Linked DNA regions of Drosophila melanogaster. The protein of the gene in region 3 purifies or fractionates together with the protein of the main gene of each other region. This does not show direct contact. Each region holds a gene or a part of one and is shown on either strand. Other genes may lie near its edges. The genes, in order: CG14767, CG7668, sty and Tmep.

Region 1 (7,962 bases), on a different chromosome or scaffold from region 3:
GACTATGGATATCTATTCGGACGCAGACTAAGCATAAAATAATGATGATGATGATTTTGCCGTGGTGGAGAAAGGTTTGTTTTGGTGTGGCGCAGTTCCGAAAACAAGAGTAGTGTTCCAAACCGGTTCCCAAAGCGTGTATTTCTTATAAGACCAAAACAAGACGATTGCAGCGCTTTAAATTACGTCACCACTTGAAGCCAGAGAGCAGAGAGAATTGAAGATTGAGAGGGAAACAAACAAAAGGGGGATGACCAAGACCACCAAACAAAGCCGGACCTCCAAGTATAACCCGAGTTTCCAAAAGTCGTAGTTTAGAAATTAAAGGAAGGTTTAGGGTAAACATACATGTTATTATAGTCAACTATTTTTAATTTTTTTGAAACATTTGCAGTGCCTGAAGCTTTTGTTTCGATGGTGGTAAGATAAAGTGCATTTCCAAACGATTTTAAAACATGTTTAAAATAAACTTAATAACAAGTTTTCACGCTTGACAGATTTTATCTACTGCACCTTGGGGGATAAGGTTTGCTTTCGAAATGTATCATCCGGAAGTTTAAGTTTATAAAAACGTAAGCATATGATCTTCTCTTTGAAGACCCACTCCAAACATTTTTAAAGGAGGATTGTTCCACTTTTGAGATAAACTAAACACATGTAAGATACTCTTTTTTTTACACATGTAAGTTAGGGAAATGACAAAAAAAATTAATGTAGCCCAAGGAGTTAACGGCTAAATAACGTGGGTGATCGTCGGAAGAAGCCAACAAGCATGGGCGGAGACTCGAACTCGAACTCGCGCACTGATTTCGTAGGGAATTCCAGTTGCCTTAGACGACTGAGCCACCGCGGCTGGAAAATTTGGGACGTCCGAAATCGGAGAAAGGTGTTTGAAGCAGGTTAATATATGTGGTTAACCTACAGATAAGGCTACAAGCAGCACTCTTTTATTTATGGATGCAAAATCAGCTGATTGACAGCTTAAAACGCTTATTTACGATGGCCTGTTGTTTGGCCCTGATAACACGCGATTAGCGATATGGAAAACGGACCACCAGACCATCAACTTTTTCTCACTTTATATCCCCATGTTCCTGGCTGCGAAGTGCAGTTAATCCGCAGCTATAAATAGCAAACAAAAGTGAATTCGGTGGGTGACGTAGTTGGGAATAACAGAGAAGGGGTGGGATGGATACGTACTAAAGAGATAGAGAGAGAGCGACAGAGAGCGCGCTAACGAACGACGCAAAACTGAAGGAAACAAGGTACACAAAGGGGAACTGATAAACGAAACTTACTGTAAAACTGCAGTTACAGTGCCGTACTTTTATATAACAGCAATTGCACCCCACGTTCACTGGCTTCGTTTCAATAAATAAAATAAACACGGGCTAAAATTCTACGCGAGTCTGATTAGGCATGCGGTTTAAGCCATTTCAATTCCGTTCGCTGTCAATTTTATCTCTGTTTTGCTGCAGTTGGCTCTCCAAATCTTTTAGTTATGGTCACCCTACGATAGCAAAGCATGTATTTTGATTGCATCGCTGCTATCGATGTTTGCGGATTGGCGCTTTAGCGTTCGCACCGGTCACACTTACCGTACTTTTTAAAATTAATATTTACTTTACGATGCGGAAGCACAAACCTATCTTGAGTTGCTCCTTTCGAAGTAAATTTTAAAAATAATATTAACTTCAATAATAGTAATAAAAACATATCAATTTACATTTGGGGACACAAAATACATAAACTATGAATATTTAGAAATAAATGAGCTTACATCTCTTCGTTTTGTTGTTTATTTATATGACATCTAATTCAAAAATTATTGTATAATATCATGATATTTGCGAATAATGACTCGTATAAACGTTACCGTTCTGCAAAACGCATAATGTCAGTGTGACCGTGTTGCGCGGCATTTTACCACTTTCAGAGATTAGTGCTCACGGGTTTTCGTGCTGCGCAGCAGTTAAATAAAATTGAATACATCAAGAGCTGCAGATATAAATCGGAGTTGAAAACCAGTGCAAGTTGCATTGGCCCACAAATCAAAGGTACGCCTTATAAAGGAGAGTGAATCAATTGCCGAATTAGTAGTGCAAAAGGTCAAAGCATCAGTCGTGAAAAAGTGGCACACATAAATACAAATGCATACATACATACTCGTAGATGCAACACACACCTACACCTAAACACACATACACACACAAACACACATCCGTGGGAGGAATAAAACACCCACAATTGCTGATTATTTTCTGCACTCGTTATCGTTATCGCTTTCGTTTTCGCATTCATTTTCCACAGCCGCAGTTTCGTGGGGCGTGCAATGTTTAGGATCCACCTCAAGATGGGTCCCCAACGCAACCAGCTCCACAGCAACAACAACAATGGTGCCGCCGGAAGTAGCAGCAGCACCGGAAACCGTCACCTGAAGGAGTTCACCTGCTGCTTCGGCCTGCATGTCCACACGGCCACTTTGATGATCGGATTGTGGCACCTGGTAAGTGCATCAAGGGGGGTATCCTTTAATCCATACATGCGTGTGTGTATATCGAGATACACCCACGCATGCAGTCCTGCGGCATTTGCGAAAAACCTTTGACCCTGCTCAGTGTCACGCAAGGGAAAAATCAATCAGCCAATGACTGCAAAACTTTGCGAAGACGAAGACGAGCCAACTCTGCACTTTCCCCGCCTGTGACGTCAATTGGTGGCTGATTGGCCGCTGCTGCGTCATCTGATCAAATTTAACTACAGTATAATTCGCTTAGCTGCCTCGAGTACTTTGCACAATGCCTCGATGCAGGTAACTTAAAAATGCAGCTAACTTAATTTTTTTTTTTCTATTTTCTATTTTCTATTCACACAAAAAAATGGAAAAATAATGCAGATATCTTGCCGATGCAGCTAACTATCGATGCAGCTAAGCGAATTATACTGTACTATCATCGGGGCTTTTTGGCACAACAACTTATTTCTGCCATCGGTTCCACTGCGGAAGTTTCCACATCCCATGTCCATTGTCCGAAACTAACCTTTCACAAGATCTGACTTCGCATTAGCAATCGCTACACTTGGAGAAATGTAAAGCATTGTCGAATTTTCAAAAGTTTCATAAGAAATTAGTTTTATTGGCTAAAAAAAGGGATATAAATGTGCAAAGTGCAGTATTTTCAGTCTTGTTATCAATGTTTTTGGAAACCCAGAAACCTTTGATGTCTCTTCTGAAAATGAAAGAGAATGCTCTGCCCTTAAGAGAGCGCGAATCTGCGGCCAATAAAAGATTTGAGTCGTTGAGCAAAAACCCTTGCTTAATAGTATTTGTCTCACTACGCTATTCGTGTATATTTTACACTGTTCCGCTACTTTCTTTATGCTTTGATCAGGTCACGTTTTCCAGTAGAAAACTCCGTCACATGGGTTGATTATGGTGTGGACAGCAGTGGAGTTATCTTTTCTAATCTGTCCAATCTCAAGGGTTTCTTTGTTTACATTTTGTAGATATGTATGGCGTTAGAGGCTTTAAAAACAAAGCAATTCCGCAAATCGAAGGTTGCTTGTTGTTTGGTTGACTCATCCCCAGAGTGACAATTGTTGATATACTGCGGCGCACTGCAGATTAAATTTCATGATGAATTTCTGATGAATAATTTAACTAAAGATGGCAAGTTGCCGCATCTCGGGTCGTTGCAAGGCCTTCAACCTGAGATACTTAGATACTGAATCGGATATCCAACGGCAGCCATCTGAGCAAACAGCAACCAGAAACATGAGCGTTCAAGTTATTTTTAATAACTACACGTACTCGACAAGTGATGCGAAAATATTTACTCTTGTGGTGGCTTACTCTTGCTTTTCGGTAAGAAAGATATATTCTTCTGGAACAACATTCTGAAGCGTGCTGTCATAAATCTGAGAATTGTTAATTCAGCTGTCATCTATCAGCACACAGGCTGCAAATCAAATCAGGCGAAGCTTTCTTATCTTCTTTTTTGCCAGCTTATCTTCATGAGCGGACCCATGCACCTGCTAACGCACTCGAAATACTTTTAAATGTTGAGCTATCATTAAAGTCCCCCCTCGTGATCCTTGGGAATCTTTGCTTAGTTTGTGACGTTTACAACTTATTCACATTTTTATAAATATTGTTCTGCTCACACAAAAGTCTACATTCCCCACTACTTCCAATGAAATTCCATCCGGAGGAAGCTGTCCAACTGGTGAAGGCATTTGCGAGATTCGAATGCAATGCCCCACACAGACGACACATTTCCGGAAGGCAGTTCTTGTTGTCCTATTGACATTGTTTCCTCAAATAAAGTCATCCTGCGCGGCTATGCTTCTAAGGCGAATAAGGATGTCGAAGCGGTGGAGGAGCTAGAAGAGATACAGGAGATGAATGATGAGCTAAGGGATTTGTTCATCAATACAACTGCCATCAATTGCTCGTCCCTTTCTGAACTAAAAATCCAGACTGACGCTTTCAACACCCTTAAAGAGCGTACACTATTCTCATTGGGATACTCGACAGCCGGGCTTTTAAAGAAATCAAAAATCAGTAAGGTTCTAAAAGGGAAGGTCAATTTGTACCAACAGATTGTGAGCCTTGTAAAGCAACGTACAAAGACCAATTCAGAGATCACCATAGGAAAGACAAGTCATCCCGTGCACCTGATGGTCTTACAGAGCTTTTCGCGAATGTTTCGCGATATGGGCAATGACCTGAGCGTGGCCCTGCCCGAAAAGATGATTACGCCACGCTCCTTTGGCCTAATCTACGAATGGATGATCGAGGACACGCCAGTCTTGCCGCGACTCGGTCTCCTAGAGGTTTTCCACGCTGCCAAATTTATGGAGATTCCACAGTTGGTCAGGCAGTGCAAGTATTGCCTCGATCATGGATTCACTGAGGACTCCGCTGCGATGCTGTACTTTGAGGCGAAAATACTGAAACTTGAGGTTATCCATTTGCAATATCTTGAGCGCGTCTCAAAGTTTTTTCTCACGCTGGTGGCATCGAAAGAGTTTTTGAGACTGCCGCTGAAATCAATGCTATTGCTCATCCAATCGGATCTGATAGGCGTGAATACGGAGCTGGAGGTCTTCATGGCAGCCGCTCGGTGGCTAAGCCACCACTGGCCTCAAAGAGAGGAAAACGTAACGGATGTTGTATCCAGCATACGTTTTGGACTAATCCCGCCGTGGTTGCTCATCCGTTTACAGAAACCGGATGTCACATCTGTGGGGGTGGGGAGAATCGTAGCGCAGCCAATTGTGCGCCAAGCCATTCATGAAGGCATCGCGTACACGACCACGCGGATGTTTTATGGAAAAGATCGGGAGGCTTTTAAGCACTATTTGCATAAGGCTTGCGTAAAGCCACCCGTGCAACGCACTTGGATATACGACCGGAAATGTCCGTATCATCATCGAATGCAATGCAGGAACACGGTGGACTTAACCTACGACGCGTTCCTTGAATATCTTAATTACACGCAACGCCAGCACCGGGATTATTGGAAATCTCTGGAACCAGTAGATGCTAGCAATGTTTGCTTCAGTTGCCAGGCAAAGAAGTCTGATTTAACTAAGCCCAACAGTTGAGTCTCCACGTTGGTTGTAGAACTTGTAAAATATATATTTCTACTTATATATGTAAGCCTCCATGTGCAATTAAACAGTTTAATTATTTTAGTAAGTAAAACCGCCTACGTTTATTTTCAGTTCTTGAACATATTGGCGCTAAGCGTTCTAGCGGTCATATGGCGCAATCCGGAGATGATGGACGAACTGGAAGGTGGCACCCACGACTACACCGTGGATCTGAGTGCACCGGCCCTACCCACGCCCCTTAGCAAGGTCGAACCGCCCTACGCCTACCGTGACCACTCCCTCAACTATCGTAAGCGTTACCGTAAGCAGTGGAGAGAGCAAGTTCCGCAACGCATTTAAATATCAATTTTCTGCTGCAGAGAACTTCGATATGGGCGGACTGGTGTGCACCTGCATGATAGCCATTACACTGATGATGATCTACGGAACCATCAAGGGAAAACCCTCCCACCTGTTGCCGTTCTTCTGTTTGCAATTGTTTGATTTCGCTATTACAACGTAAGGATTATAATCGGTGGAGTTACAGAGACCTCAAAAGATTTAAATCGCCACTTTACTTTAGTAAAGCTTAAATAGCCTTCTTAAATCCTTCGAGGTTTCTAGGACTCTTTTAATAGGGAGATTAATGTACTTATGCATTGTTCGTTATCATAGTCTCACCGCCGCTGGATATCTGTGCTACCTGCAGGCCATTCACAGCATCATTGCCGAGTCGCATCGCTTGCCGTGGCGCGAGAAGCTGCTAGAACTACCACCTGAGGAGCTAGTTGTTGTTGTCCTGGTCGTATTCATCTGCATTGTGTTTCTAAAGGCCTATTGCATTGGTATCGTTTGGCGCTGCTACAAGTACTTGACGCTCCGTCAGCAACACGTTCGCACCCTGTTCCCCTTCCTGGAGCCACCGACTGGAGTCCACAGTGTTGGCGGAACCTTTGGTGCCGAAGAGCGGTCTTACTCCACTCTGTTGCCCAATTACGATGAAGCGATTGCCCAGTACTTGAAGCAGGCACCACCGCCATCTTATCAGGTGGCCATGTCAAACTACGAAGAGGGTGAAGACGCAGCTGTTGGAGGTGCGGAGGTTAATCCTTCGGTGGCCCCTCTCTTCGTGGCCCTTGGAGCAGCCACTACCGCGAACGTAGCCTCCAACACGGATGACAACATGGATAATAACAATGATCAGCCGAACAATAACAACACTATGCATGTCAATGCCAATACGCCACCAATGCGCCGCAGCGATGCAGCTGTAAACGCTAATGTCGACGAGGAAGCGGACGATTTGGAGGTTATTGACGCTGGCGTTGATGTAATCGGTGGCATTCCGCCTCCTCCGCCCTACAACGACGTTGCCGATGCCCAGGTGCAAGTGCCATCGCAATCGCCGCTGCATCGCCAGCCAAACATCCCGGGACAAGTATTCGGCGGACGCGACGAAAGCCAGGCTTAAACAGTACTTTCGACTGGATTGCTTCTCATGGCGAGTGGGTTGTGATCAGCGGTGACCACCCCTCTCCCATCCTCTTCTTGCCCAGATGATCTGGTTTCTGGTCCCTCATTTCGCAGCTATCATTCCCAGGCACACATACACCTTCTTAATGGTTGCTTCAATGTATTGAACACTGTTTTTAGAAAAACGAAACGCAAACAAGTTTTCGCTATTAGCCATCGCTCATTATTGTTGTTTAACGTACAACTAAGACGCTCTAGTTGCTGCTAATTTAGTAAACAAAAGCATTAAAGCCAAAAACATATTGTGATGCTGGCGAGGAAAGCATCAATTCCTTTTCGGCCGCATCTGACCCGATTTTAGCTGCAACAATCTGTTAGAACGTTTTTCATTTGGCCCGAACTAGCCTGAGAAGTTCGGATATTGTAGGCCCAAGTAGTTGTTACCAGAGAGTGTCGCTGGCATTGTAGACACCTTTACGATGTTCTTTGTTTTAAGTTATCTCGTAAGACTATGCATATTGAATACCGTGTACTGAATTCAGAGCACAGGCAGTCATAATCCATTAATTATGATGATATTACCAGCAACAGTAAAGTTTTATGTGTGTACAATATCTAAATGTATACTGTGTACTAAATATGCAAAGATATTCGAATAAAAATTAGTTTATATTTAATTTGTGTTTGCGACTTCATTTTAATTTAAAGAACATTATAATATAATTTCCAATTTCAGCTGATACCCTAATTCTATTTGGAAATTGGTTTCATTTTCAATAGAGTTGGAATGTTGACTTTTTAGTTTATAGTGTTAATCCTTTAACAGAGTTGATGATATTTATTTTAATTGGGGAAAGAAACAAAATAACTTTGTTCTCTACTATTAAGTTT
Region 2 (4,252 bases), about 17 Mb from region 3:
AATGTAAAATAAGACCAAGTTAATACAGAGGATTTCCGTAGTAATATGATTGAAATGAACAAAACTGCAATCGGCATTGCAGCGGGAGTAGCTGGAACTCTGTTTATTGGATACTGCATCTACTTCGACAAGAAGCGCCGCAGCGATCCCGAGTACAAGAAGAAAGTCCGTGAGCGTAAGAATCCCCATTGCGCCCCAACTGAATTATGAAAGAAACTCATCATTTCATCACTTCCTAGGTCGCCGTCGCAACAAGAAAACCGGCACTGCCAAGTCTGGAGTTCCCAATCTGAACGACCATGAAGCCATCGAAAGGTAGGACACTCCCATGGGAGTCGCATTATATAATGTGGCACGTGTAGTGGTGCCTGGCGATTCAATACACCTCCATTCAAACAAACAAGCCCACATATGTTTCTCCAGCCAAATCGATGTACATATTTTATGTGGAGTCCCATTACACTTGCGTGTTCATCGTGTTGCTGCTTATTGCCTCAGGCATCTAAAGACTCCACTGCCTTGGATTAACAAGCACATTTCAGTGTTTGGATTCTCAGCAGGCTTCCTGCCAAGAAATTCATAATTTGAATATACAAATAGTTATTATTGTTGCAACTGTGCACAATTTATATTATTTATATGCACCTAATTTGCCTGGCATTAATTTAATTCGTAATAGTGTGCATCGAATCAGCTGTTCCAAACTAATTAAACCATGATATTTGCAGATATTTCCTTCAAGAAATCCAGCTGGGCGAGACCCTGATCGCCCGCGGAGATTTCGAGAGTGGCGTGGAGCACTTGGCGAATGCCATCGTCGTGTGTGGCCAGCCGGCTCGTCTGCTGCAGGTGCTGCAATCCTCCCTTCCAGCTCAAGTATTCGCGATGCTGATCGTCAAGATGCAGGAGTTCGGCAATCGAGCGGCCGAGGGCAACGACGGGCCAATCGTTTTGGGGCAGAGCTCGGAGCAACAACTGGACGGAGCCAAAATTATAGAGTGTTCATCTGGAAACGCAAGTATCGACGACCTCGAATAGTACTTGGAGATGGCTACAGAAATTGAGATATAAATTTCAACAGTAGAAATTAAGGGCTTCACATATAAACATTATATTTTTTTTATATATTGATTTCTCTGGATGTTCCCAATACATACAAATAAATATGCGTAAACTGTTAACACTTAACAATTGAGCTTTGTTTTGTGCGTGGTATTTACGTTAGGCGAATATCAAAGATCAACTCTGCAGACCTAAATGTTTTGCAATATGTATGTATAACAGGGTATGTGTTAAAGTGTGTGAAAGTTTATCAACAATAAAAGATTATTAACATGTTGAATATCTTGGGAATAAATACATATATCTCCTAACCGGTTTGATAATAAAGGTATTCCAAAGTTTCTTTGGTATTTAAATATAAGTGATTATTTATAGGAAAAGCGTACTACTGCCATCTAGGCAGCTTAATCAAATGAGAAATGGTTCTTATACACTTATTTAAAGCAATAGTTTGAAAATGCAAAAGTTCCTTTTCAAAGATGATACCCAGTAATTAAATTTACGGAATACCCCCTATGCCATGTTCTAGCCGGACTGCGTAACTCCCTCAGTCCATATCTGGTAACACTTAGAGCTAAACAGCTACGTGCAATTCATCGGATTTTTTTGTATTTTGAGTTGTTACAAATATAGGCACTTGCTTTACATCTTTAAATTTATTGCACGGATTATTGCAAATTCCGTTTGGAGTGCTTTTAGGTACGATAAAACGTGGTGCTGATAAATTAATCCCCATGAAGCCGGAGGACCAGAACAACTTTTCTCAGAATTCGCGATCCTCTCCAGATTCCAGCACTGAGAACAATTCGGTGAGCAATAAGATTTTTCTCGATTCTCGTTACTTACATAGATAGAGAAGAACGTGTGAGAAATTTGAAAATTCTTTTGGTGTATTGATATAAATTCACAAGTAAAATAAAAATCAAAGACACTAAAATAATAATGTCTAATGTCTTTATTATTCTAATGTCTTTGATAAAAACTTTTCGCTTTATATGTACTTCCCCAAATTCCGATTCTAGTGTCTTTGAATAGACTCAGTCAGATCCGATAGTGATCGTAATCATGAATTCATGCACATAGTTCTCAGCGAATATTGTATACTCTTTCGTTTTTCAGAGCAGCAGTGATTCGGAAATGGAATTTGTGGGCACAAGTGCACGGGGAATGCTGAAACATAAGAAAAAAGATGAGAGGAAAATATCGGAACTCACCCGAAAGTTGGCGGAGGCTGAAATAAATCTGAAGGCCCAACAGGAGAAGGGCAGTATACTTGAAAACTGCATCAAGGATAAGGATGATTTTATTAAGACCCTGCAATTGTCGATTGACTTAGTAACGCAAACAAAAGAAATGACCATACAGAAGTTACAAACTCAAATTATGGACTTGCAAAGTGATCTCGACTTGAGTAGGATTACAATTAAGAAGAACGATGGAGGAAATTGTGCTCCAGCGCATGATAAAGTTGTGAAAGAACGAAAGGAGTTAAATATGGAAAATGGAAAATTTCGAGAGGGGAATGATCAGATTGTTGAAATCGAGAAAATTTTGAACTCAAAAGAGGCGGAAATCGCCAGACTAGAATTCAAAATTGACGAGTCGAAGCTAAAAATTGTGCAATTGGAAGGTGCAGTAAAGGCGAAGGACGAAAAGATAGTGAAAATGACAGAGATATTGTCTGAGTATAACGTTAATAATAAGGACCACGATGAATTCGTATTACTGGGCTCTTCCAAGTTGCCTTCAATTAAATTGGTGACACTACCTGATTTCGAACCCTTTGCCTCAGTTTTCGAGGATATTCCTTCTGCCGGTCGTGGTTGGATGATAATCCAGCGTAGAATCGATGGCAGTTTCGATAACGCCACTGAATCAAATATAATAACGGGCTGTGGGGATTTGGGTGGCGAGTTCTGGCTTGGCCTACAAAAATTGCATAAAATGACGACACATCGACGAATGGAACTATATATCCAGCTCGTCGATTTCGACAATGCTAGTGCTTATGCAAGATATGATAATTTTGTTATTGGCGATGAAAAACAGAAATACAAACTGCTTTCCCTTGGCGAATACTCAGGAAATGCTGGCGACGCATTTCGCAGTCATATAAACCATATTATTGTTGGAAATCCGTTTGCAATGGAATCATCGAAATGGTGGGGTACAATGAACTGGTATGTATGAACTTGTTTTTGTTTAATGATTTTGAAAAATAATTCTTTTTCAGTAACTTGAACGGAAAATATCGGAATTCCAAAGTTGAGTTGGACACGACCGATGGCATTTGGTGGGGTAATTGGAATGTTGGTAATAGATATCCCCTGAAGTCGTGCAAAATGCTAATCAGACCAATGCCGTGAGCCAAGTATAATGGCTTGTCAAATAACATTGTCACGGAAATAAAAGTTGTAAAATAATTTCTACCTGTTCATTTTCAGCCTAATTATTGTAGAATGTTAAGTTTTAGTGTCGACCAAAGAGTGGATAACAGGCTTGAAGGTCCTATAAATGCTGTATGCTGTATTTGCAAGTAAAATCTAGCTTCGCTTGGTATTTTTTTTATCGTAATAATACCGACTTTGTTATTTTACGGTCGAGGGAAATTTACATGAAAATCCCACCAGATGGCGCGTTTGATAAAATCGATTTTATCGCAGGAATGCCGTATTAAATTGCCCAAGTTTCTATAAAATATAAATATATTTTGATAAATAGTAATAATAATACATAATAGAAAAAAAAAAAATAAAACATAAAAATCTGCAGAAGGCAACAAATTGCATCTAACAGTGAAGTGGAGCATTTTCCTAGCCTCACAAAATATTTAGCAATAACAAATACATTTGTCTAAAACATGTAACAAGTCAGACATATGCATGTTCTCCGCAATAAAGCTGGGATATTTTTACCAGAGAGGGTCAAAGGACTCAATAACAGAAGGGGAAATAGGGGTGCTCCATGCTCAAGCTGGTCCGGATGAGCTCGAAGTTGCTGTTGGAGGTTGCAGCTGGAGGTTGCAAGCGCAGGACATGGCCCAACTCGTTAGGACCTCGAAACGAAAAGTCGAATCAGTTGAATTTCTGTTCTCATTGACTGCGGTTTAAGTTGCTTTAAATCGCAGTAAACGGTGTGCGTCGTCGGTAGCAATTGAATGAGAAGGGAAAGTATGTTTCAATCGAAAGTC
Region 3 (4,648 bases):
GCTGTGAGTGTGATTTTTATTTTTATTCTTTTGGCTGTCTGAAATTGCCCTCGAGTTCATGTTTAGACATTCACCTCGAGGCCAATGTGTTACCTCTGCCACTGCGGCGATTATCTAGGACACTTGTGACGTCAGGCGGGAAAACTGTTGGACTGGGGTGGCGTATTCATTGCGGATTGAATGCACGAAAAGCCATCAGAGCCAAACACCCAGACATCAACTTGGCCAACTTTCATACGGATTTCTCATTGAGCATTTTCGTTCAATGAAATTTCATTTATTTTTATTCTGTCCGTTCGCATTCACACTCATTTATTCGAATTTGTTTGCCCAAAAATGTTTCGGCCAATATACATACGTATATATAATTGAATGGCAGACCACTTTTTGTTGTCGAGTTTGATCTGATCGAATGATTCACATTTCGGTTGGCATTTCAATTTAGGGTCCAAACAATGGCAGATGTCCAGTTGTCCAACTCCGCAGCAAAGCAAATGAAATTCTTTCGGGGATACCCTTATCTTAAAAGGTTATTTTGTTTCTTTATGTTCTTGGGAAGTATTTAAAATATATTATTATTTAATGCTATTCAAAAAGTATCTTACTCAACTTACTCATCCTAAAATAACATTTTCCTAGCGCTCAAGAAAGTAATCCACATTCGTTTTTGAATCCAATTTAGCTCACTCAGCTTTCTTGTTAGACTTTAGCTTTTTATTGTTCTTTATTCTGATGTTCCTTATACATATACAATATATACGTATACAAATATATATGTAGAGTTATTGTGATGCGTACCGCCCATATGTGGAGCTCGGCGAAGTGGCTGCTTTCCGCCAAATTTGGTGCCGCATTCGACCGGATGTCGTTGGAAATAATATTGAAATCTTTATTATTTTCACTGATTAATTTATGGGGCAGTAAACGAAATGAGCTTTGAGTGTGCTGTTCGATTTTAATTTGGGAGCGGTGCACAGGGTGCTGGCTAATTTTCAAATAAGCCCGCCTTAAGGAGGCAGGGCAACCCTGGCCGAACAGCTGATGGACAACGGATGACCTTGGGGGTAATTGCAACAACCCCCAAGTGGAAATTCACTGCCATGGCCAATGTCGAGGCGACGCCTACCGAAGGTCGTTGCCAAGGCAACTGAGTGGGCCAGAGCCCAGCTCATTGGGCCAGGAAATGCAGGCGTGTGTGAGTGGGCGCCCATTGAAAGTGGCGATGCATTCAAAATGGCCGTCAAACGGACGACCTTGAAAGCCGAGTGCTCATTGGCCGGGCCACCGAGGCCAGGATGTTGGGTGGCGGGTGGCTGGTGGGTTGGTAGGCAATTGGAGGGGGCTGGATGGCCATGCAAATGGAGGGAACTGGGAGCCAGGAGCTGGGAACAGGAGCAACCAGCAGCCAGGAGCCAGGATTAGTCCTGCAGCAATAGCCGAAATCGGAAAACAATACGAATGTCGCACGAAGCCCACGCAATGTCGTTTCGTGTTTCGGATTTTGGGACCTTCGGCCCAACGAATGGGTATTCCCCTCCAGGACGAGATCCTATCGGCAATCTTCGGGTGAGGCTGCAGCTCCGATGCAAAAGTCGTGCAACATTGGCTCAGTCACTGGACGATAGTCAGGCTGCATTCAACGTGCAATCTCCGAGAACTTGTGCTTGCAAAATTATTTACCAAATATATATACCCGATATATATACAGTTGTATGTTCAAAGACACAACGCAATTAGCGATTAATAGATGCGCACACGGCGTATGCGTAATTTAAGTGAATCCAAGTAAAAGTGCGCGTGTTTTTAAATAATTAACAATTTTAAATAGTAAACTATCCCATTGAAAAAAAAAACATAATCATACATAGCGTAAGCCTCTTTAACTTTATTACAAATTAATCGTGCTATTAATCAATTAACCAAGGCATCTCGTTGAGTACAGTTGCCACCAGAAAAACAAAACAACTCAATCAACCCCAAAAACCAGAACGAACAAAGGCGAGCTGTACCGAGCCAAAAAAAATCTCTAATCAAATTATCCGCATTATCTGCAATCGAGTCGACCAAGCCGAGGAAAACTTTCAACCAGAACCCATCCATCAAGCAACTTCCCTTCACCGGTGAGTAGCTTCATTGTCCCTTGTCCATCTCTATCAATATATGAACCTTCGCAGTCGAAGAACACTTAAATGTCTCAAGTCATTCATATTGTCAATTGGAACTTTGGATCTTGACTTTTTGTTCTTCTCTTGAGAGCTAAAAGTCACCCAAAGGTTAAGTGACCAGTGCTCATCAGTTGGAAAGGCATTAAAAGTCATTTATATGCCAGTGATTTTTATGCAAGAGATCTTATCGAAGATTTGTCAAGGATATTATAAATGTATTATAAAATGTTCATCCATTTGAATCTTAAATATCTGAGTAAATACGCGGTTGTATAGTTTGTAGAAATTGGGAATTAAATTTCTGGAAAAGTTGAAAAGTCTATCCTAGCCAATATTTTAAAAAAACAAGATCAACTCGATAAAAATAAATTCGTGACATTGTTTCTTTTAGTCAAACAATGATGAACAATTTCCCTACAATATCTTTGAGCTTTGAGTAATGGAATAACATTTAATCGATAGTATGATAGGTCTTAATTTTATAAATTTGTCATCTGTACCCTTTTTCCCTACCTAAAAATCAAATCTTATGCCTGAGCCTTAGAGCTTAGGCATTCTGGAATGCCATAAATCATTTTCACTGCCCCAAATGGGGGGAAAGGCGGAATCGGCGAGGATGAGTGGGGCGAAGTGGCTGGAAGAAGGCTCTTAAGTTAATTTAGTACTTTGTTCGCTGTGCCAGATCATTAAAATTATTTGGCGACTTTGAAAAATTCGAAACAGTAGCCCACAAATACCGACAGCTGAACGAATCTCGAAATGAAATTGGTTTGGCTGATGAGGATGGAGATCGTGTTTTCGTTCGCCGGCTACCCGCTGCGTTTGTCTGCAGATGTCTCATAAACATGAAGACCAACCAGTCCCTACCCTCCGAATATATATCTTTTTTCGAAATTTGTATAATCTGTATGCGAATCATAATGACGCGAAATCAAGATCGGACTGAAGGCTGAAAGCTGAGACACACTTTGGCCTTTTATGCCAGCTCACATGGAGGCTGAGGCTCAGCAAGAATTTTAAAAACTTAACCCATTTTGCAAACATAATGTAGTTTTACATTTGAATATATAAATGGGGATATTATGTATAATTAAATTCTGATATAAATGTAGGCAATAATCATTGTTTAAATCATAGCAAAGAATTGCAAATTGGAAAGTCCTTTAATGATTAAAGAAGTCATAAGAAGTACATTTAAATGCAAGGTCTTGGTCTGTTTCTATATGACTTTGGGTAAAACCAAAGCATCTGGGAGTTTTCCTAAAACCCCTAGGATACCCAGAGGGTTAAGGTTTCGCTGAATCTGTACCGTTCAATTAGCTCTGTCTTTGGGACTGGCGTTGACCAAGACTAATGCGCACATTTCATGCTGATCGTCGCAGGAATTCCAATTCCCTGCGAGTGAGTTCTCCTGGGTTTCTTATTTTAATTTTTTTTTTTTTTTTTGGCTCTGGGTTGGGCTGGCCCTGTCGGAGGAGACCTTTTCTTTGGGTCGGTCGCGTAACATAATTGCGTGAATAACTGCGTTAATTTCCCAAAAGACTTGACAGCGGATGTGGCTACTGGTCTGCGCCGTTGACTCCTCCAGCCTCCCAAATCCTCAGTCCTTCACCTTCTGCTTTGCATTGGCATTCCACGGACTATGCCATCGATATCGATCCGATTCGAACCGATCCTCTGGGCCCTGTGCCTCTCGCATTTTTGGACCCGGGTGTGCCAATGTTTTTTTTTTATCTTATTTATATTAAGTTTTTTTTTTGCCATAAATGGCTTCCGCCGGAGTGTCCAGTTTTTGGCTCACGCTGCATACGCATATACATGTGGAGCTCCATTTAAGGTGGTTCCGGGGGCTGGGGCTCCTCCAATATAATTATGAATAGGCAGGCCATGTGGGCATGGGCAACTCCCCCGCCTTCGTGGCCCCAACTACTCAAATCCAAAATATGAGCTATGCGTTCCAATTTCAGTTGTGGGCTTTTCTCGGATCTTAACTCGGCCCCTCTTTTCTTTCGCATTTTGCACCGGTAGAAATAATAGATTTAGTAGAATTATTGCTTGATTAGAAAAAATATTAATTAATTATCTATTTATAATATAGTTTCTAATTACACACTGCACCAATCCAATTGTTTTTTGTAGACACAAAAAATATTTTTTCACATTATATTTATGTGTTTCACAATTTTTTGAACCTTAGGTTAATATTTTATATTTTCTAAACAAAATACAAAGTATTTTCATGTTAATTTGGTAAAAGTATTTTTCTTAATGCCTTTATACCATTTTTTCACTTTATCGATCGCAACGGAAGCGAGTTGGCGTTGCCATCGTCATTTTGCGTTTGTCACAAATTTGTTTAGCTAAAATATTGATAGAGAGAAGACATAAAAAATAAACACAATTTTTTAGATAGTTTTTCATGTGGGGGTTCCGACGGAATTCGGAATTCGGTTTCGAGCCTACTTTGACGAATTTGGAAGTAA
Region 4 (7,567 bases), 1.9 Mb from region 3:
TGGCCGCCGGGCTGGAACTTCCTCTGGTTGCCCAGCGTCTTTGAGGCCATGCAGTTGCTGCCGCCGTTGCCGCCAGATCCTGGTCCAGTGGCCACCGCATCGTATCCACCGCTGGTGGGCTGCGACGCCTGCATGCCTCCAGCTGCTGCTCCCGAGCTGGGATCGTCGGGATCGTAGCTGGAGACGCGAATGCCGCGGGAATTCTTGCCACCTGTGCGGGTTTCATTGGAGGGAATGGACTTAATCGTTACGGGTCACACAGATCGAGGGTCTAACTTATTAACAAGAAACATTAGATCATGCCATGCTTGTCACAACCATTCCTCGATTAAGTATGTTACTGAAGATTTTAGTTATTAGTTAATTCTACGATAAAAATCTTAATCGAGGCACGGATATATGATATATATAGTTGGAAAGAGGCCAATAAACATGCAACGAAGAAAACGAGGCGAGGCAAACAGTTGTCAAGCTTATCGTACATTTATTGCTAAGTATTTTAGATATTTTATACAATTGGTTTAAACATTTACAAACAGAAGTAAATAGAAGGACGACGAGAGCTTATCACAAAAGGGTGGTCAAAAGGGGAAATCAAAATAAAAGAAGGAAAAACTTCGTTTTTGGTATCTTTGAGCGAAACGGAAACACGTAAATAAATGCTGAGGGGAAACTAGCTTGAAGATCGCTTGAATGGGGAATCCTGTTCAGCGACTGCCATTGTTGCATACAGTATAATAAAATCTTTGTTTACAAATACATAATATTGTACAATATTATAGTTCGTTTCGTACATAGCTAACGTCTAAATAAGTTGTTTTAAAAAACGCTTAAGTTTAGGTGTAGAGTGTAAACGTAGGAAATACAGAAACACAGACGCAGAGGCAACTCTAAAAGCCCTGAACTCAATGGACTGGCTAAGTTAATTTCTGTTCAGCTTTCAGCGTTTTGTGGAGTGAGTAAGTAAGTAACTAGGCCTAGTACGTATCTTCCTCTCTGAGCTTGGTTTCGGGGGATACTGTGGGGCATTAAGCTAGGGCTAAGGCGCTAGGGCTATAAGTACACTTGTTTGCTTCGCTTTCGGATCGCGTCCCGCTCGGAAATGTGGAATTGTGATTGCAATTAGTGTTTAGTAGCGAGCATCGCTAGAGTTTTGCTTTTGATATTGATTTAGAGCTTTTCGTAACGCTGAGCCGAGGTTACTTCTGCAAAAGATAAGAAAACAAGAAAGAAAAACAAAAGTGTGAAAAACATAACGATAATGGAATGGAAATGGTAATGGAAATTCGCATCGAAATGCATTAAATGAGAGCGACGAACACAAGAGATAAGATAAGTTAAGCAGGCTCGATGAAAAGAACGAACATGCCACAGACACAGAGCACAAAGAGAAGAAGTTGGGCTAAAAAGACGAGAAAGCGAGTAAAAACCAACCTGAGCTGTACTGCGTGTACTGCTGGTACTGCGGATGGAAGTTGTGTATAGCATCTGTCATAATATCCTTGGGATTCATTGTTTCCTGCGAAGGATTGCGGGAGTTTTAGATACGGGAATTCCCAGGGAAATATTCCAGCTTACCTTAAGACTGCTGGAAATGGACTGCATGGTGACAGACCGTCCGTGGCCATCGCTGATGCAGCTGCGTGCGTAGACCTACAAAGAGCATACAACATTTAAGTTATTTTTACTGCAAGCACTTCGTTTTAGCTGATTTCTTCTAGCCAAGTCAGCATTACACGAATACCTTTCACATATCTAACAAGTGTAAGGAAAGCCGCTTAATAAACACCGAAATAACCGAAAAAAAGCACTCAAGTCAGCACTATCTAATCACCAAAAATCGTAAATAGCTGCGTAAAATCTAGCCCACTCCGACATTCCAAAACTCACCTGATAGGGGAATGCATAGCGCAGCGCGATGGCGGCGAACAGCATTTCGATGCAGATGAAGAAGTTCTGGTATCCGGCGGAGACGGTACCGGGTTCCACGGTAACAGTGCCTGCACTGTCTACAATGGGCGAGATAACATTGGCCTTCTCCAGGATGGCCAGACCCACGCCCTGCCAGAAGGACAAGAAGATGACGGACTTAATGGTACAGAACTTTAGCACGGGCTCGAACGGAGTCAGCAGATCACGCGTGGCGAAGTAGAACAGATAGAGGCCATACAACGCCAGCGACACGGAGATGTTGTAGATAATCGTGATGTAAATGTAACCGCCATCAGCACTGCAATTTAGATAAGGAGATATTATTAGTGGGAATGATATGTACCTATAAGTTCTCTCTTTTGCAAAGTGTTACTTAATGGCAGATTTACTGGTTTACAGTTGGTAATTTATTGCGCACGCTCGTTGTTTTTATGCCACCATTTCAGATGCAATAACGCGGGTCATTAAAGATAAACCACATTACCTCCAATCGCCATCGTGGTAGTGGCCAAATGCCTGCAGAAAGATGATAATGAAGGCCACCAGCGGCTTGACCAGGCAGAACTGCAGAGTGGCCTGCTTGCAGAAGCGCAGGAAGCCAATCGTGTAGGTCTTGCCCTTCAGACAGCAGGTGCCATACAGGCACGATGTCTTGATGGGCTTGCCGCGAATCTCCGACATAATATTGCCCTCGCCACCCAGGTACTCATAGCACAGCGACAAGAAGTTGTAGATGACAAAGGCTGGATGGAAATGGGGTTAGCAATTAGTCGATGGGCAAAAATCATTCAAAATCAAATCAGCCGAACCTTCGTAGCAGTCGCGCACCGTAAAGAAGTAGATGTAAACGTTATCCGAGTTGAAGAAAAGCAGACTGATCCAGGAGTATGTGGCATAGATGGGCACAATGAACAAAATGCGCACGATCCAGCGCTGCTCCTGTGGATTCGTGTACCAGCGCAGGTGCTGGTAGATCTGCCAAAGATATCCATTAGTACACAACTCAGACCAATGACGCCTTAACTCACCTGTTGACATGTGATGAAGAGGGCGGCCCAGACGCACACCCCAGCTAGAACCTGGGCGGTCTTTGTCTGCAGGAAGATGCCATCGCCCACGTGGAGCAGCGGGTCCAGCGGCGTGCTCATCGGAGTGTTCTTTACCTGCACCACGTAGTTGGGCTTCCCTGTAGCCTCAAGCGATCCCGCAGTTGTAGCCGTGGCGTTTCCACTACTGGCATTTAGAGCCGCCTCGATGAGACTGGCGGCGGTTGTGCTCATGCTGCAATGGAATCCAGAACGAGGAAGACCGATTAGCGTGGGTGTAACTGGGCTAGGTTCAGGAGCTATTGTGCGGCCAGTTGAAGTGCTCAGCACAGACAGCTAGGCAGGCAAAATGTTTACGTTCTCGTCTCGACTTTCACACGAACATTGCTCCGAAAATGACATTCTTACTCAGAGACACGAAACCCCATTTCAGCACTGCTGTGCTGCGCTCTTAGCTATATTATAGTTACACCTGATTTATTCAAGCTCCTAACTCATAATCTAAATTCATTAGTGAATTATTTCTTTGTATTTTCATATGCTTTCGAATTATTCGCACTTATATAAAGGTTTAAACAACACGCTTGGTCAGAAATTGTGAATCCAGTCATGTGCAAGATGTTGAATAATAGTCATTGAATAATTATGATTTTAAATAAACATCCATTATGTATGTGCATTAATATCTGTGTGTTTTTATTGCCCTGGAATATGGATTTTTAAGGTTTATTATGAAAATGTTCTTATCTTGATAAGTTCATATGTGTTCTATGAATCTTTTCCATGTTGCCCCAAAATTTGTGACAGCACTGCAACAATGTTTGGACGGATTTGGGTCAGCAAGAAGCAAAGTGGGGAATGTGGAGCGGCAGCAGGAACAAAAACAAAAACAAACAAAAGAGTTGGCGGCGGGCGGCGGGTGGTGAACGGGATTGGGTTGGGATTTTGGGAGCAGAGGGACAGAGGCGCGCGCATTAGATCATCACGCAATCCAATATTAATAATGGACTCTGGCGCAGCCAAGGAAAGTTATGGCCACCTCCACACCCACCTTCCACCTTGTCTCAGGGTCACTTCAAACTGCTCCATATCGATTTCACCCGCCTGGGAATGCCAACCAATCAATAGGCGAGTGCAAAGCAAGCAGAATGAATTACATATTTGATAGATCTTGAGTCCATTTGAGTGAAGTTTTTTTTTTTAAATAATCTCGAATGGGGAGCTTTTTGAGCAGCGATGCTATTGTGCGTACAAAAATAACCGAAAGTGCAATGGATACAAATAAACTGAAAGTTCTGGTGGAACGGAAACATATGGCAGTTCAAGAGGATTATGGGGGCCAAGAAATGCGATAAGCATTCGAGGAAACAGGGGGGAAATACAGAATAATGTTAAAATCTTGCGTGGAATCCACTTACTCTAATATTCCAAAAAGGCAAAACCTACAAATCGAAGTGAAATAGAATTGAAAATATCGGAAATGACGAACAGGAAGTAAAATGAAATGTCAAAGTTCCTTGCTGAACAGTGGGAAAAAAGGGTATCGCCCATGGTAAATTCCGATATTATTTATTCAACACCATTTAAAAAAAAAACTCTTTTTTTGAGGAGTGCCTTTACCAATCATTTTTAATAACATCAAGTACAAGATAGCTCGAAACACTGACTCACCACTAAAGGGTTGGGAAACACTAAAAACTTAATAAACTTAACAAAAAAAAGGTGTAATAAACACCTTTTTTTATGATTTAGTTTTAACAAATGGGATATTTTGTGATTATAGAGTCATTTTATCTCCAGAAATGGTATTCAAATATAAAAACTCTTTGGATGTTTTGAATACTTATGGTATATTGTGAGTATTCCAGTTGTGCTGACAAGAGTTTCCCATTAGGGGAATAAAAATCACGTTAATGATAACGAATGAGTCACGAACTCGTGCAAAAGTTAATAATACTCGCATTGTTGAACTCGAATTTGTGAGCAAAACGCAAAGCGTTAAATGTTAAACGCTTGAAATTTGCTTACGAATCTCGGCGACACCGAAAGCCAGAAGTAAATGGCCAAAAGAAGAGGCAGAAGAAGAGTGAGAGAAGGCTAAGCGAAACACAATCAGCTGCACAAAGAAGAAGCAACAACAAGTTGCTGCTGGCGGAGATACACAGAAATTGGCCAAGCAAAAGTCTCCAAGCGAAGAAGAGTCTCCAAAGGTGGCAAGAGACGAGTAAAAGCCATATTGCGATGATTGTGAGGGAAAAGGAGGCGCGGTAAGTTGGTAATTATGGAGCAGGGTGTGTTGGAGGTCGGAAGCCTTGCTGTGGGGCTTCAGTGGGTAAATTGAATTTCAGGCAAAAACAAAAACATATGCAGCGTCAATAAACCATATGCGAAACGACCTTTTGGAGAGTGGGGAAAGAAGAAGACTCGAGCTTATCTTCATTGCTCTTCCACTCACGCACACACAAACACACACAAGTACACTAACACCTTGCTTATCAATGCAAAAGTACATTGACAACAACGAAAACACAGAAAACGAGCTCAATAATTTCGTCATCGAATCGGGTAATCCACAACCTGCCATTTCAGGGAAAACAACTTTTACACAAACACACACACATGCAGAAAACCTGCACGCACAAACTGAACAATTCCTTTTTTAATTGGTACGCTAATTACCTTTTTTCAAATGCAACTCTCCACGCTTTAGAGCGTTTTCACAGTTGCAAATTCCGTTTAATTTCGCTGCACCCGTTTTATATAGATTTTCAAATCTCAATACGTTTTTCTTTCTTTTTTTCACCTGACGCCAGTCGCGTCGCCCACTGACGTCGTCGCTCTTGTTTGGGGCTAAAAGAATGGCCTACAGCGGTTGACTTATGGCCGCGGCGGTACGCAATATGTTTGCCAATGTTTGAACACGATTCCTGGATGTTTTTTTCGCGGATCGTGGGTGTGAAAACAGCGAAGGAAAGCGGAGCAAAATAAATGAAAACTACGCACGAATCGTGTTGGTGTGTGACCTAACTACACTAAGCGCTAAAATCTGCGTGCCAATACATAAAAAATACCGAAACATATGTTTTACAGTATTTGCGTGGGAGTGCTGCGTAGTTATTTTCTTTTCGTTTGCTAATTAAATACCACAAGTGTTCACACTGTGCATCACGCGCACAGGCGCATCTTATCACTTGCGCTCCGCTTGACTTCGGATAAAATAACATAAGCAATTCCAACTAATATGGTAACAAACTTAAGTTAGCAGTAACAATTAAATTAACAGGGAAAAATATTTTGTAGCACTTGCACATTTAAGACTCGTTAATGTTCAATTGTTCAATACTCCAGCACAATCTTGCAAGATCAACATATACCATAGATTATATTAAAATTTAAAAGGTTAATAAATGTAATTGTTTGGTTACTTTATTGTTTTAAATAAACGTCATATAGTGACTAACGAATTAGAATTGTTTTTAACAATTAACCAAATCGCATTTCAGAAACCCCTTCATATTTTGCTCACAGGGTGCCCGTGGTCTTCGGAGTGATTTTTTTCTGCTGCACGACTACAGGTCACACTTTTCGTGTCAGCCATGTTGTTTTCTGTCACCAAACCCTCGCAAGCGTAGGAATTACAAAACAGCATTTCACTTTTTGTGTTGCCAGGAAAATATAAATTTTTCAGGCCGATCATCAGCAGGAATAATCAAAATAAATATATAGCAATTGAGCCAAAACAAACCCAACTGTTTTTGTGCATTGGTGGTCCAGAATAAGTGGAGTTTTGAATGGTTTTCATGGTGAGTAAAGTTCATTGAATAAATTCAGTACTCGTACTTAAAACAGCGACACCTCGCCCCCTCCGCTTCTCCTCTTCGTTCGTTTCGCTTCTGCTTCTTCCCGTGGAGATGCTTCAACATCAACGACTTCGAAGCAGCAACAACAACACTGCACGGGAGCGAGAAGAAAAACCAAGAAACTGCTGGAAACAGTGAAAATCGGTTAAAACCATTACCCAAAAGTATGTTGATCAGTATTGATTGGTGCTTAACGACTCGCAGATTCCTCTTTGCGCTCTGTTTCGTTTCGGTGTGCAATTCATATTTTATGCTTAGGGTACAGTCTCGGTTCTACTAGCAGCCCCGTTCCAGATTCGATTTCAAGATGAAAGGCATTATGTAAATACATTTCCGCGAATAAATTGTGTACCGCCTGTCACACATTCGGGGGTAGAAATATATATATTGCTCTTGGTCGTAGTAAATACCTGTATTAGCGAACATACCTGAATTGGCTTTAAACCGAAACATAGGTAGTCCGATACAAAGTCTTGCTTAGCTAGGATCACTCAGGAACTGAAAGATCTCTTATTAACAAGCATGCTAATAAAATGCAGAAAATAAAACAACGGATTTGTTTAGCATTGCCAAGGCAACATATCAATTGGGTTTTATAGCGCTTACCATTAAATAGTCTTAATAGCTGTTTGATCGGAAAACATACCACTATTTCATATTGGTACATAACTTTAAGGCTATCAAACAATTTTTAAAATATATTTCTATAATTATAAATGATATATGGAT

The links.
Region 1: the proteins of sty (region 3) and CG14767 purify together in Drosophila melanogaster (affinity purification with mass spectrometry, with the first as the bait; one large-scale study listed by BioGRID). This does not show direct contact.
Region 2: the proteins of sty (region 3) and CG7668 purify together in Drosophila melanogaster (affinity purification with mass spectrometry, with the first as the bait; one large-scale study listed by BioGRID). This does not show direct contact.
Region 4: the proteins of sty (region 3) and Tmep purify together in Drosophila melanogaster (affinity purification with mass spectrometry, with the first as the bait; one large-scale study listed by BioGRID). This does not show direct contact.

What each region holds. Positions count from the first base shown.
Region 1 is NT_033778.4:8,717,801-8,725,762, reverse strand, and holds CG14767 (uncharacterized protein), read left to right. Parts: upstream 1-1,923; 5' UTR 1,924-2,057; intron 2,058-2,265; exon of another isoform or gene 2,266-2,310; 5' UTR 2,311-2,332; coding exon 2,333-2,506; intron 2,507-4,138; exon of another isoform or gene 4,139-4,254; coding exon of another isoform or gene 4,255-5,610; exon of another isoform or gene 5,611-5,663; intron 5,664-5,730; coding exon 5,731-5,920; intron 5,921-5,978; coding exon 5,979-6,117; intron 6,118-6,273; coding exon 6,274-7,069; 3' UTR 7,070-7,746; downstream 7,747-7,962. Other genes in the region: CG30357 (uncharacterized protein), read left to right, coding at 4,255-5,610.
Region 2 is NT_037436.4:20,001,122-20,005,373, forward strand, and holds CG7668 (uncharacterized protein), read left to right. Parts: upstream 1-1,614; 5' UTR 1,615-1,796; coding exon 1,797-1,871; intron 1,872-2,181; coding exon 2,182-3,242; intron 3,243-3,295; coding exon 3,296-3,428; 3' UTR 3,429-3,713; downstream 3,714-4,252. Other genes in the region: Tom20 (translocase of outer membrane 20), read left to right, coding at 46-175, 240-315, 729-1,038.
Region 3 is NT_037436.4:3,421,897-3,426,544, reverse strand, and holds the start of sty (sprouty), read left to right. Parts: upstream 1-1,609; 5' UTR 1,610-2,120; intron 2,121-4,648. UniProt on the Drosophila melanogaster protein: Inhibitor of tracheal branching that restricts branch budding by antagonizing the BNL-FGF pathway (BNL: branchless, an fgf inducer of branching).
Region 4 is NT_037436.4:1,567,632-1,575,198, reverse strand, and holds the start of Tmep (transmembrane endosomal protein), read right to left. Parts: upstream 6,019-7,567; 5' UTR 5,658-6,018; intron 3,299-5,657; exon of another isoform or gene 3,214-3,298; 5' UTR 3,213-3,213; coding exon 2,961-3,212; intron 2,908-2,960; coding exon 2,742-2,907; intron 2,676-2,741; coding exon 2,417-2,675; intron 2,231-2,416; coding exon 1,891-2,230; intron 1,654-1,890; coding exon 1,579-1,653; intron 1,520-1,578; coding exon 1,435-1,519; intron 1,206-1,434; coding exon of another isoform or gene 1,171-1,205; exon of another isoform or gene 467-1,170; intron 212-466; coding exon 1-211.